Linked DNA regions of Canis lupus familiaris. The main gene of each other region encodes a partner of the protein of the gene in region 3 in a complex. Links are inferred from orthologs where the notes say so. Each region holds a gene or a part of one and is shown on either strand. Other genes may lie near its edges.

Region 1 (4,619 bases), on a different chromosome or scaffold from region 3:
ATTTCTAGCTCAGAGAGAAACTTTATTCCTCAAGGACACCTTCAGGGCCAGGGCAGGGGGCAGCCAGCTCAGCCTTCAAACTTTTTCTTGCGGCCCTCCATTCCACTCAGCGCATCGATGTTCTTACGCCAGTCTCCCACCTCCCGGTTTTCCTGGAGGAATGGGGCCAGGAGTGAGGGCTTCTCTCCCATCTACACTCTCTCAAATAGCCTCCCCCCAATCTTTGGCCCGCTGGGCCACTCTGCTTTGGATGTCCATTTTGAGATCTGCTTCTGGAAGGCTTCTCATCCCCTCAGGCGATCCCATCAAAGTTGCCCCCATGCACATCCTATCTCCCTCATGCACTTCTGGCCTTGCTACTTCCTTTCTCCCTAATGCACTTCCTGGCTTCCCCTTCTACTTTCTGGCTTCCCCTTGCACTTCCTATGCCCCTCCTATACTTCCTATTGGGGACCTCTTACCAGATTCTTCTCCCCATAACTCCAAGTAGCATCTGCCCTGAGCTTAGGCCCAATGACTGTTATGTCCCACACCCTCTCCTCTGAGCACCCCCTTTCCTGGCTCTAGCCACACTCACCTTCTCTGTGTCCTCCTTCTTCACCTGCTTGAGGTGGGCCCGCAGGTCTAAGGACTCCTTAGCCCTGGTGCCCAGCAGCGCCTGCATCATGGCATCTGCAGAGATCCTCACCCTCCGCAGGGTGGGCCGCTTAAATTTGCCACGAAGGTCAAAGATCTTCTGGGTCAGATCTGCTATCTGGGGGCAGCCATAAGGGAAGGTAGAAACCTCCACCAGACCCATTCTTCCACCCTATACTTCCCTCTGCTCTCTTTCCAGGCCTATGGAGGTCTCATCCAGGCTCCTCATCCAGTAACTGTAAGCCCTCCCGACGGGCCCAGCCTCCTCTCTGAAAAACACTTGACACCTCCTGGTGCTGCTGCATGCATCCCACAATTTCCTGACCCATGCCTGAGCTCACCTATCAACAACACCCGATGCTCCAGCTACACATTTCCACGAATACAGCTTCTGCGTTCCCAACTCCTGGCTTTTGTGTGCTATTGTCCCCTCTGCCTGGAACAGCCTTCCCTAACCACTTTATACTCATTCTTCTGCCCCATCCCTGCCAGGCCCAGCTGTCCTGGGTCTCCTGGTGTCTGCAGTCAACAGCAGCTGCAAGGGCGTGGACTGAGACCACAACCCCAGGCACCAGACTTTACCCGAAGGGACCAAGACTGCCCAGGGCCCCCCACCTCTGTGATGTTCTTGGTGACTTTCGCCTCCACATCGTATCTCTCTTCATCCACTTTGTCCACTCGGGCGTGGAGTTGTCGGCACAAGTCCTGGTCAAGAATGTGGTATGTGTGGTTGGGGGACGGGGGTACTCTGACTCCTGAGTCTGAGGGAGGAGGCCCTGGGGGCCTGGACATCTAGTCCTAGAGGACTCTGGGGCAGCTGGAATAAAGGGTGCTGGGAGCCAGGAGTCCTGAGAATCTGACAGAATTGGGGCTGGAGAGCCTAATCTCTGGGTTTTGAGACTGTAGGCAGCTGCAGGCCATATTTCTGAACTCCTGAGGGTAAGGATTAGCAGACTGGATCACAAGGTCCAGAGCAGAGGTAGGGGACAGTGACTAGACCGGTGAGTCCAAACCATGCAGGAGCGGTCACTAGGTACCTCGGATCCCCAGCTGGGCAGGAGTCCCTGATGAGAACGGTACCTGCAGCTCCGCGAAGCCCAGCCCGGCTAACTCCAGCGGCTGGCACCGCGTGCTCAGGGCGCGCCCTTTCTCTCCGCGCCGCTCCTCCGCCTCCCTCTCCAGCTCTTGCTTCGCGATCTGCAGCATCAGGGTCTGCAGAGGCGAGGCCGGGGACCGCAGCCCACCCGGGGAGGCGGATGAGGGCTGCGCGGCATCCGCACCGGGGAGGCCGCCCTGGCCAGGACAGCCCCCCAGTTCCAGGCAGGGTCCGCGGTTTTCCAGAGACGCTCCCCTTCAATCCGAGGCTCCGCCCCCGTGGCGGGGAGAGGGTGGGTGCTGCTCACCACAAGCCACGCTCACTCCCCACTGAGGCCTCGTCCTACCCCCTCCCGCACCCGACCCTCCAGCTCCACCCCCTGAGGACACCTAGGCGCCCCCTCCAGGCCCACCAGCACCTTCAGCTGCAGTTTCCTCGAGGCGGAGATCTTGGACTTTTTCTGCCGGGGTGACATGGAGCAAGGAATAATCAGGGCGGGGAGTAGGAGACAGATGGTCGGGGGCATGGGTAGGTTCCAGATTTGGACTCGCTTCCCGCTGAAGCTGAGCCCCTCAGCCCCATCCACCAACCCTGACCCCCTGACTGCTTAGGCAGTTCCCATGGGCAACGAACTCCGCCCATAGGCAGGCCACACCAATCCGAGCCCTCCCTCCGCAAAACCCCGCCCCTAGGGCGCAGCTTCCTCCTAGGCTCCGCCCACAGCCAAAGCCCCGCCCCAGCCAAGGCTCTGGCACCGCCCCTCCACCCCTGGGTCCCGCCCCCTCTGCGGACCGGGAACCGAGCCCCGCCAGCCCCTCGCTCACCTTGGCGTGCGGCTCCGTGGCGTACGCGCGGTAGTTGGCGGAAGACTGGCGTCGGATCGGGGCCGGAGCGGGGGGCGGGCACCCCGCCTGGGGTTGGGGGGATGGAGCCACGTCACTGCGGGCCCCCCCAGCGCCCCTCTACGGGTGGAGCTGCCACCTCCCGCCCCAGGGCCCACCCTGCGGCTCCCTCCCCTGCCGTGGACCCCGGCCTGCGCCTCCTCTCACCGCATCGCCGCTCCTGAAGGAAGAGACCGGGAAGGGGGGGTTAATGGTGGGCCTCTGTCCCGTCCAGTCTAAGGGACCCCAGGGGCCGCCCACCAGCTGCCCAGTCCTCGGGTTCCAGGGAGTCTGGTTCCCAAACCTTTCTTCGTGCCGATAGCCAGGAGTCTGTCCCCACCTCCCTCCTCAGGCCTCACAGGCCCACGTCCCACCGCCTCGGGCCCTGCAGGTCCGAGTTCCCTAGATGCACTCACTCATCCGCCATGCGCAGACTCAGGCCAAGGCTTGCAGGAGGCAAAGAAGGGCAAGGGGCGATTGGAAGGTCAGTGAGGGGGCATCCGGGATGACCTTGAAGGCCCCCAGAGCTTCAGTCTGTCTGCACTGCTCAAGCTTCACTGAAGACACTGAGATAAGGGGCGTGGACTGAGACTAAATATACTGCTGCCACCTCCTCCCCCTGCCCAGGATGTGAGATAACCGGGGCGCGTGAGGGGTGGGGTGGGCTGTGCTCCAGCTGGATCACCCTTCCACCTTGGAGGCCTGGAACCCAGCCCCTCCTCCCTCACACGCAGGGGTTCAGGCCCCCATTCCCCTCCTCCAGCAGACACAGGAGTTCAGGCCCCCAGCCCTTCCTCCCTCAGATGCAGGAGTTCAGGCCCCCAGCTCCTTGGTTCTTCAGACCCAGAAGTCTGGGGCTCATCCCCACACTAAACAGTGATCTCCATGAGAGCTATGATCAGTTTCTGTGTCCCAAACCTGTTAGCCACTCAATAAATTTTGTTGATTTATGTGACGATCCAGGTATGGTCCAGACTCTCAGGCAATAACAGCCCAGAGAAATCCACTTGGAACTAGGTCTCCTCTCTTAACCACCCTAGCCCCTTCCCTGTCCCAGCCCTGGAGACAAAAGTGAAGACAAAGACACAAGGGCACATGAAGAAGAGGACACCACTCTTTTTATCTGGACTATGTGGGTGTGGACCAGCCCTGGAAAGCAGATTCCCCCAACCCTCAGGTAAAATAGGACCTCTGAGGACAAGAAAACCACATAGAGGGCCTGAGACTCAGGGCCGGATCTCTAGAGTCTCAAGAATGGAATGTGGAACCCTGAAAGAACACTCTAGAATTCTAGGAACAGAATATAGAATCCCAGGAAGGTAATCTGAAATTCTAGGGACACCGCTGGAGCTGTTGGAGAATATTGAGAGTATACCCGAGTGAATATTCTAGAGGCAAGCTCTACTTCCAGGACCTGACCTTAGAGGTCAGAGATGGGGGACTGGATATCTGGGAATGGGGTCAGACTCTCTGTGGGTGGAGCCAGAACCTTGGGGAGTAGAGCTGGAGTTTGAGGGGTTCTGAGCGCAGTTTGAGGGGCTAAGAGGGTGGGGTCCCGCCTTTGAGAGGCTGACTCTGGTTCTCAAGGGCCGGAGCCAGGGTGTCAGGGGGCGGAGTCATGGATTCCGAAGCTGAGTCAGTGTGCTGGCCAGCAGAGTCCAAGGCTTTGCAGAAGCGCGCAAAGGTCTCCGAGGGCCTGGCCTGGGGTGGGGGCGTGAATCCAGCCGCCTGAGCTAACTCTCCAACCCGGGCAGCAAAGCCCTGCAACTGCTCCTGCCTCAAGTCCACCAGGTACCTGAAACAAGGAAGGGGTATGTTAGGGGGTCCCCGGCTGTGAGCCCAGGGCTGGATATTCCCTGCCCTGCGCTCCCACTGGCTGGCTCACCGGGCCAATTCCACCACCAAGCGTCCTCCGGGGGCCACACAGGCCCCGAGATCGGGGCTGAGAAGATGCACCATCCTGAGTAGAGAAAAGTGAGGGCTGAGGGCTGAGACTTAGACTTTCA
Region 2 (4,453 bases), on a different chromosome or scaffold from region 3:
TGGAGTTGGAAGGTGGCACAGGCAGTTCTACGTGGGTGATGGTATCTACTCCACTCCTTTCATGAACTCCAGGAACTCTGTGGAGAGATGAGTAGACCTAGGTCAGAGAAGAGGTCTGGGCAAGGTGTGGGCAAGGAGGGATCAAGGGCACTGCCCCCCCTCACCGTCATAGTCAATGCGGCCATCATTGTTCTTGTCACCATCCTTCATTAGCTCCTCAATGTCATCTTCCGTGATGGTCTCACCGGTAGCCTGAAGCATCACCTTCAGCTCATCCAGGTCTATGTAGCCATCAGCATTTCTGTGCCGGGGGCGGGGATGTGAAGGGGACCTCAGAGCTCATGGTGTGGGCCAGAGGAAGGGAAGAAGCCCCACCCATGATACCAGGAGGCAAGGCAGGGCCAGCACTGAAAATGGGGTGGGACATCCCATTTTCCCATTGCACAGAGTGGGAAACTGAGGCCTTGAGGTCACAAGACTGTCCCCCTTTCCCCACCTCTGCAAGAGTCAGGTCAGAGATCCTGGGTCATGCACTCACTTGTCAAACATGCGGAAAAGGTCGGACAGCTCCTCCTCAGACTTTCCTTTGCTGTCATCCTTCATGCACCGAACCATCATGACCAGGAACTCATCAAAGTCCACTGTGCCACTGCCTGCAAGGTGAGCAGCCCAGCCATCAGTGAGGGATGGTTAGAATGCTCTTGACACTAAACCCCTGTGCTCTTGCTGCGTGCATTCTCTCTCTTTTTAAAAATATTTTATTTATTTATTCAAGAGAGACAGAGAGAGAGAGAGGCAGAGACACAGGCAGAGGGAGAAGCAGGCTCCCTGCAGGGGAGCCTGATGAAGGACTCGATCCCGGGACTGCAAGACCATGCCCTGAGCCAAAGGCAGCCACTCAACTGCTTAGCCACCCAGGTGCCCTGCTGCATGCATTCTCATAGCAACTCCGTGAGACGAGTGTGGTCATTATATCCATTTCAGAAGATGACACGATTGAGGCTCAGAGAGGTTAAAAGTTCCTTCGAGGGCACAGAGTAATAAGTGGCAGAGCCAGGATTTGGGGCCCAAGCACTGGAGGCTGATGTGGGTCTAGGGTCTGGGGGGCAGGGGGCTCACCGTCCTCATCCACCTCGTCAATCATCTCCTGCAGCTCCTCGGGTGTGGGGTTCTGGCCCAGCATCCTCATCACCTTGCCCAGCTCCTTGGTGCTGATGCAGCCATCTTCGGCGCCCAGCACGAAGATGTCAAAGGCTGCCTTGAATTCTGTGTCCAAAGGGAAGGAGGGGAAGATAGAGTGGTCAGGGCTCAGAAGCCAGGATCCCAGAAGGCCAGACCTCTGGGGCCATCTGCCAACTGCCTTTTCCCTCCAAGACCTCTGAGGTTGCGGTGAGAGGGACCCCGGCCTCGGGGGTCCTCATGCTCCCCCAGCCTGGCCCTGTCGTACCCCCACATATGTTGGAGCACTCACCATTTTTCTGCTCTTCTGTCAGCTGTTCTACCTGGAGAGAAAAAGAGGTCTCAGGACTGATTCAGGACTTGGCTGCTATTAAGGAAATCAACCCATTCCACAGATGGGGAAAGTGAAGCCAGGAAGAGGCAGGCCATTCCCAGGTCACAGTCCTCAGTCCTCACTCCCTGTCCCCCGAAGTCCTGAGGTGACCCAGCTGGCCTCACTGAGGCTGGGCTTAGGGCCAGGGTGACAGGTGGGCGCCCCTTCCAGGGCCAAGGTGACCCCGAGTAACAATAGTCAGTGACCACTCAATGCCCTTTCGGCTCCCTTGGTGAAATCCAAGCTGGGTGGCCTGAGGGACAGCTGTCCCTCAGGTTGGGACAATAAAACCAGTGTGGGGATAGGCAAAGCCACCCACTGTAACCTGACCTGGACGGCCACTGGGCTATTTTTAACGGGGGACAAAGTTAAACCTGGTGATTGTTCTGGGGACTCTGGCATGCAGGGGGTGGGGCAGCATTATCTGGCCCCCTGGCCTGCTGGTGCCTCAGGAGCCAAAATTAGTCCCCAGCCCCACCAGGCCTTGTATGGGCACAGGGTGGAGGGCAGCTCCCTCCCCCGCCAGCTCTGTGGACTCCTGTAGGACAGGCAGGGACAGCCCTAGAGCCAGCTCTAGCTCTCCCCTGCCCGGAAGTGAGGCTGCACTCCACTCTCAGGGCTGAGGGAGGGGTTCCCTTGGGGACAGTTGTCTATGCCGAACATCCTTGCCTCTGGGACAGGGGGAGGTCAGCAACACCACCTACTCCTGGGAGGGACTAGTATCTGAGGCCCCTCAGTGACCCTAGGACGCTGCAGGGACTCAGGGTGACCACTCTCCAGCCCTCACCCCTGGCTAAACCACTGACCCCTGAGCCCTCCAGGCCTGATTGGGGTGGGGGCCCTGGTTCTTGATTCCTTTTTCCCTGTGTCTCCCCCATGCTTAGCGCTTCCCTGCCTACCTCAAACCTCTAAGCCCCTTTTCCAGCTCAGGATTCTGGATCACCAGCCCCCTTCTCAAACTGTCCCACCCTCCACAGCATCTTCAGCCATCCAAGGAGCTGGAGGTAGGGGGTGGGGTGAGGAGCAGAATGTGAGGGGCAGAAACGGAGAGGGGGATGAGGTGGGGACAGGGAAACAGAAGCAGAGACTCAGAGGGACAACGAGGAGGAACAAAGAGATAGAAAGAGACTGATAAAGGCAAAGATCCAAAAACCACAGACACAAGTGAAGGGAGATGTGGCTGGAAGATAGTGACACAGACTACAGACACTTGGAGACAGGGGCAGACGTGATGCTAAAAGTTATGACCTCCTCCACCCTCCAAAAAGCTCCTCTCCAGACCTTGAACCCCTCACCCTAAACCCCTCACTCCTTCTACACCCTGGAATTAGAATGCCAGATCCACCATCCATCCCCTTGAGGGCCTGGGCTGAAAGTTGCATGGGCCCTCTCCCAGGTCCCCACTACCTTTGTAGAGTGACCTCACCCCCCATCGTGAGTTGAGTGAGGCCCCAGTGGGCCCATCCACCCCAGCCCTGCCCAGCCCAGTCCCTCACCGCAGCCTTGTAGATGTCATCCATGCTGGCGGCTCACAGGGCAGGCTGCTGGGGTTGCCAGCCAGCCCTGGGCTTAAATAGCCCTGCCCCACCTCATTCCCCGCCGGCCCAGCCCACCCCAGCCTGCAGTATCCTCCACCCCCTCCCCCAGCCCTGGTGATCTCAGGCTGGCCTGAATCCCTGTGTCCTCTGCCCAGTGCAGGGAGCAGATGAAGGGCTGCAAAAGGACCACATCTTTTTCCTTCTGTCCCCCATGGTTCCTAGGGGACTCTCTGGAAAGTCTTCTTGAATGAAAGAAAACATAAGCCAAGAACAGGACAGGTGCTGAAAAATAGTGGGCCCCAGGCCAGGCCCCTACACACAGAAGTTCAATTCTTATCCAATCAGGAAGATGGGTAATATTCCCATTTTTCAGATGAGGAAACTTAAGCTCCTGGAGGGCTGGTGATTTGTTCGGAATACGTCTGACTTGGCAGCCCCCGTCTTAAGCTAAGCCTGTTGCGGAGGGAGGGTGCTGGCCAGCAGTATGCAGCAAAGAGAGGCCCTTTCAAGAGAAGCTTCGAATGCCAAGTTCAGAGTATGGCGTTGTGTAACCACCGGAGAAGGAAGTCATTCACCCACGTTAGCACAGAGTGCTCTGGAGCCCTTGGGCCCAGGGGTGTCAGAGCATCCATAGCCAAGACCTCTCATCTCCCCAGGGAGAACAGCACTAGCTCTGGGTGTGGGTAAGCTGCATTTGGTCATTCAGTGCACACATGTACAGATGCCCCATCCGTGCTAGACTTTTCCCCTTCAGCTGGGTTACCATCCCCCTCTTCCAGGTGGGGGTCTTCCCCTGGGTTAGGGCTCCATCTCTGTGTCTGTGCTTCCCCATTCCAGTACTATAGTTTCTAGGGCCAGGGCCAGCCTGTTAGCCCCAACGGCCAGCGCCCATCCCTCCCTCCCACCCCCCTGCGGAGCCCCGTCTCCATAACCACACCAGCTCCCTGCCTCGAGTGCCGGGCACTGCGTGGATTAATCCCATTCGCTACAGGAGGTCTCCAAGTCTTGGAGAGGTTAAGAGCTGGCGCCAAGTTACTGTGTCCAGCTCGGGCTCTGCGCACAGCTCCTAACTTCAATCCCGTGCGTGCCCTGCAGAGGATGAGCCTGAGAGCCAGGCGAGGGGCGACGGCTGACTCTTGTTCTGGAAGGGGAAACTGAGAGCAGGCGGAGCAGTGGCTTCCCTCGGGTGGCCCGGGCGGTGCGGGGCGTTCCGTCCTCGCTTCCCGGGCGCAGAGCCGTCCCCGCCCGGCGCCTCGGTCCTCCTGGGGGCGCGCGGGCCGCAGCCAAGGTACCGCGCCGCGCCGGCGCTCGGGCCTCTGCCGTCTGCGCACGCGCGCTGCTGGCGGCTGCTGTCAATTACGCG
Region 3 (3,218 bases):
CGTGGAAGCGCGTGGGAAGCCTTCCCAGGGACCGTGGGGCTCCCTTTGGTGGATGGCCAGTGGAGAACTGAGGGAAGGCCTTGCAGGCAGAGGGAGCAGCTGCAGCAGAGGCGTGGGGGCGCCGCATTCGGGGCTTCCCCTAGGGAGCTGTTGAGCCGGGTGCTCTCCCATCTCACGTGGTTCCCCTTCTGCCAACGGGGCCCAAGGCCGCCACGCCGTCTTCAACTCAGGGAGCCCGTGGTCCCTGGTTCGCGCGCACGCCCCAGAGGACGCGCAAGTGGCGGGAGGGGAGAAAGCCGAGCACTCGGAGCAGCCCACGCCTCTCAGCAGCTCAGCTCGGCCTGAAGGGCCACCTGACGACACCGGCCCTCCTTCCCCTCGGACGCCTGCTTCCTAGGCCCCGGCCAGGAAGAGAAAGAAAACAGGCCCATCCAAGAAGGCCTCCATTGTTCCCAAGGAGTGACTCACACGGGAACCCTTGTCCTGACGCTCAGGACGCTCGGCACGTCCCCCCGGGCCTCACGGTGACTCACGGCGGTGACTCACGGCAGCCCCGGCACAAGGCCTCCTGCTGGGTGTGAGGCCCAGGCCCTGGGTGAGCCCGCGCGTTCGCGTTCGGGGCCAGCACCCTCTCGCCTCCCGAGCAGGTGGACGGGGCTAACTTTGAGTTTGGCAGTTACCAGCGGCCCGTGTCCCCAAGGGGCGTGTGTCCCCGAGGGGCCCGAGTCCCTGAGGGGCTGCTCTCGGCCCTGACTCCCTGTGAGACAGGCTCTCACCTCAGCTTCCCTCCCTCTGAAGAGTTGCTGACAGAAAAGGCACGCAGTGTGTGTTGGCTTTTATTATGGGCATGCGTGGCACGTGGGGTGCATGCGTGGGCACGTGGGGTGCATGCGTGGGCACGTGGGGGGACAGGTGCACAGCAGCTTCTGGCCGGGCCAGCTCCTGGTTTCCAGACACCAGCCTGCCTCCAGCACCCGGGGGGCCCCAGGGACTGGGGGCGAGCGGGACGGGGCGCCGGCGAGGATCTTTGGTCAAGGCGACTGCTGCCCCTACTTCCAGCGCCCGGTGACCTTGGCCTTCCCGCGGGTCTTGGAGCTGCCAGAGAAGCGGGGCGCCGTCAGAAGCGGGACACAGGCCGGGCAGCAGGTCTCCACAGGGAGGGGGCGCAGGTGGCCGACGGGGAGGGTCGACAGGGTGGCCTGGAGCTGCCTCCGAGCCTCGGGTTGGGGTGAGTCCCCACGGGCCCTGCACCCCGTTCCCCGCAGAGCAGTCACCCCGGGGGAGCCCAAGGAGGAAGCAGCCTGTGCCCTGAAGCGGAGGAGGCAGGGGTGGGAGCCGGAGCCCTCAGAGGAGGAGCGGGATGGCTAGGACCCGGGGCAGGAGGAGGCAGGCGGGCTGGAGGAAGGACCTAGAAACTTACACTTTCTGGTTATCATTGATTCTGTTCCGGAGAACATTGATCTGTAAGTGAGAAAGACAGAGTAACCTCGGAGCTCAGGGACTCAGGTCCCAGGTGGCTGGGGATGAGGGGGAAGCTGGCTTAGCACAGCTGTGGAGGAGGAAGGAGGAGGGAGGAGGGGGAGGAGGAAGAGGAAAGATGAGGGAGGGGGTAGGAGAGGGAGGAGGGGAGGGGGCCGAGCAGCAGCGCTGTGAGATCCAGAGGGCCCCGGGGCCACAAGCAGAAGCCAGGCAGAGGCTTCCCGGCCACCCCACGGGGCTGTCGCTGTGGGGTCCCAGAGCCACAGAGGGCTCGGGACAGGGTGGCACAAAGAGGCCTGAGCCCCGGTGCAAGGCCGGGCCTCAGGAAGCCCCCAGGCAGCCGCAGCCCCCAGGGCCCCAGCCGTCCCGCCCTGGACCCCAGGGGAGAAGGGAGGCCGGGGCCTGGGGGCTGGGGAGCAGCTAACACCTCCTGCGCCCGCGGGGTGCCCGGCACCTTCTGTTCCGTCATGAGCACTCTTCCCAACTGTTCACCCGCAGGATTATCACGAGGTATGACCTCATCCACGCGAAAGCGCTCCAAGGGGCCTCGGCAGAGCCATCACTGCGACTGTCACCGTTACTCCCCCCCGCCCCCCCAACCCTCACCGTGGCCTGCGGGCATCCTCGTCGTTTCAATGGGAAACAGAAACGAGGAGAGCTAAGCGACTGGCCCGGGTCACGCGGGTGAGGGCCGAGCCACGGACCCGGCGGTGCGGCCACCACGTGCACGCTCCGTCACCACACGGGGACATCCATGCAGCCACGGGGGCCTGAGCGGTGCCCAGAGGAGGGACCCTGCGCAGGAGGTGCCCGAGGCAGCCCCCAAGGGGAAGCTGCGCTCCTGGGGCCGACGGGCCTGTGGAGACCCGCGCCGCCCAGCTGACTCCAGCCTGCTGCCGGGACACCTGGGACCCCTCGGCGGGCTGGGTGCACCCCAGGGCCTCAGAGTCTGTGGGGACGGGAGATGCGGCTGCCGGGGCGAGGGGCCTCCTCTGCACCCGGAGCCCTGCTCTGTGCACCCGGCTCCCCCTGTCTGTCTGGGCGGCTGCCTCGAGGCCTCAGAAAGGAGGGGAGGGGGACCCCCCAGGGCAGGCCCCCCCAACATGGGTTTTTGCTCCGGCCCCGCCAGTGAACCATCAGAGCTCTGCAGCGAGCAGTGGCCGGTGGTGGACCCTGAGCACTGTCAGGGATGAGACCCCGAGTGCGGGGTGACAGGGTCGGGGAAGGGGCCTGACTGACAGCGCCGAGGGGACCCACCGACCCAGGAGGGGCGTGGTGGGGTCAGGGTTGGGGGGAGCAGCTCACTTCGTATTTCTGCTGCTTGAACTTCTCCTGCAGGTCGAACTTCTCGGCCTCCAGGTTGTAGATGCTCTGCCACAGTTCCTTGGCCTTCTCCCTGCGCGGCCGGAGCGGGGCGGGGTGGGGGCCCTAAGGGGGGGCCTTCCTCCCGAAGGGCCCCGGGCCCCAGAGGCCCCAGCCCTCCTGCACCCCAGGCCGGCCTAGGTCCCCAGCCCACCCACTCAGTGTGGCGCCCAGATGGCAGTGCCCGGGGCTTGGGGAGACAACCAGGGGCCGGAGGACCGAGGTCTGGGGAGGGGCAAGGCCCTGCAGCACCGCAGAGCACAGTCCGATCCCCGTGTCCCCCCCACCCCCAGAGGGCGTCTACTCAGTGCTCCCTCCCTGTTGGCCAAGCAGACCCGGCTTGACCCGCTCAGGCCCAGCTCCGTCCACCAGGCCGG

What was found. The genes of interacting proteins can lie anywhere in the genome.
Region 1: the proteins of TNNT2 (region 3) and TNNI3 are in contact, whole or in part, in a crystal structure (PDB 4Y99), measured with the Homo sapiens proteins. The link is inferred for Canis lupus familiaris from reciprocal best matches to the Homo sapiens genes TNNT2 and TNNI3. Residues at the interface, in NP_001263274.1 of Homo sapiens: Glu214, Lys217, Lys218, Ile221, Leu222, Arg225, Arg226, Lys227, Leu229, Ile231, Asp232, Leu234, Asn235, Glu236, Leu239, Arg240, Ala243, Lys244, Leu246, Trp247, Ile250, Tyr251, Leu253, Glu254, Ala255, Glu256, Lys257, Phe258, Asp259, Leu260; in NP_000354.4 of Homo sapiens: Arg68, Glu71, Lys72, Ala75, Leu76, Arg79, Gln81, Pro82, Leu83, Leu85, Leu88, Gly89, Phe90, Leu93, Gln94, Leu96, Arg98, Leu100, His101, Arg103, Val104, Asp105, Val107, Asp108, Glu109, Glu110, Arg111, Tyr112, Asp113, Ile114.
Region 2: the proteins of TNNT2 (region 3) and TNNC1 are in contact, whole or in part, in a crystal structure (PDB 1J1D), measured with the Homo sapiens proteins. The link is inferred for Canis lupus familiaris from reciprocal best matches to the Homo sapiens genes TNNT2 and TNNC1. Residues at the interface, in NP_001263274.1 of Homo sapiens: Gln266, Tyr269, Asn272, Val273, Asn276, Arg277, Asp280; in NP_003271.1 of Homo sapiens: Asp99, Phe101, Arg102, Asp105, Ala108, Asp109, Gly110, Tyr111, Arg147, Tyr150, Asp151.

Annotation. Positions count from the first base shown.
Region 1 is NC_049222.1:103,239,826-103,244,444, reverse strand, and holds TNNI3 (troponin I, cardiac muscle), read right to left. Parts: upstream 3,180-4,619; 5' UTR 3,041-3,179; coding exon 3,030-3,040; intron 2,795-3,029; coding exon 2,782-2,794; intron 2,644-2,781; coding exon 2,557-2,643; intron 2,193-2,556; coding exon 2,151-2,192; intron 1,849-2,150; coding exon 1,717-1,848; intron 1,342-1,716; coding exon 1,252-1,341; intron 1,118-1,251; exon of another isoform or gene 836-1,117; intron 755-835; coding exon 578-754; intron 153-577; coding exon 69-152; 3' UTR 6-68; downstream 1-5. Other genes in the region: DNAAF3 (dynein assembly factor 3, axonemal), read right to left, coding at 4,153-4,408, 4,499-4,573. UniProt on the Homo sapiens protein: Troponin I is the inhibitory subunit of troponin, the thin filament regulatory complex which confers calcium-sensitivity to striated muscle actomyosin ATPase activity.
Region 2 is NC_049241.1:37,719,928-37,724,380, reverse strand, and holds the start of TNNC1 (troponin C, slow skeletal and cardiac muscles), read right to left. Parts: upstream 3,180-4,453; 5' UTR 3,073-3,179; coding exon 3,049-3,072; intron 1,503-3,048; coding exon 1,472-1,502; intron 1,267-1,471; coding exon 1,120-1,266; intron 654-1,119; coding exon 539-653; intron 302-538; coding exon 165-301; intron 78-164; coding exon 46-77; 3' UTR 1-45. UniProt on the Homo sapiens protein: Troponin is the central regulatory protein of striated muscle contraction. Tn consists of three components: Tn-I which is the inhibitor of actomyosin ATPase, Tn-T which contains the binding site for tropomyosin and Tn-C.
Region 3 is NC_049228.1:1,655,229-1,658,446, reverse strand, and holds the end of TNNT2 (troponin T, cardiac muscle), read right to left. Parts: intron 2,876-3,218; coding exon 2,785-2,875; intron 1,462-2,784; coding exon 1,421-1,461; intron 1,096-1,420; coding exon 1,050-1,095; 3' UTR 803-1,049; downstream 1-802. UniProt on the Homo sapiens protein: Troponin T is the tropomyosin-binding subunit of troponin, the thin filament regulatory complex which confers calcium-sensitivity to striated muscle actomyosin ATPase activity.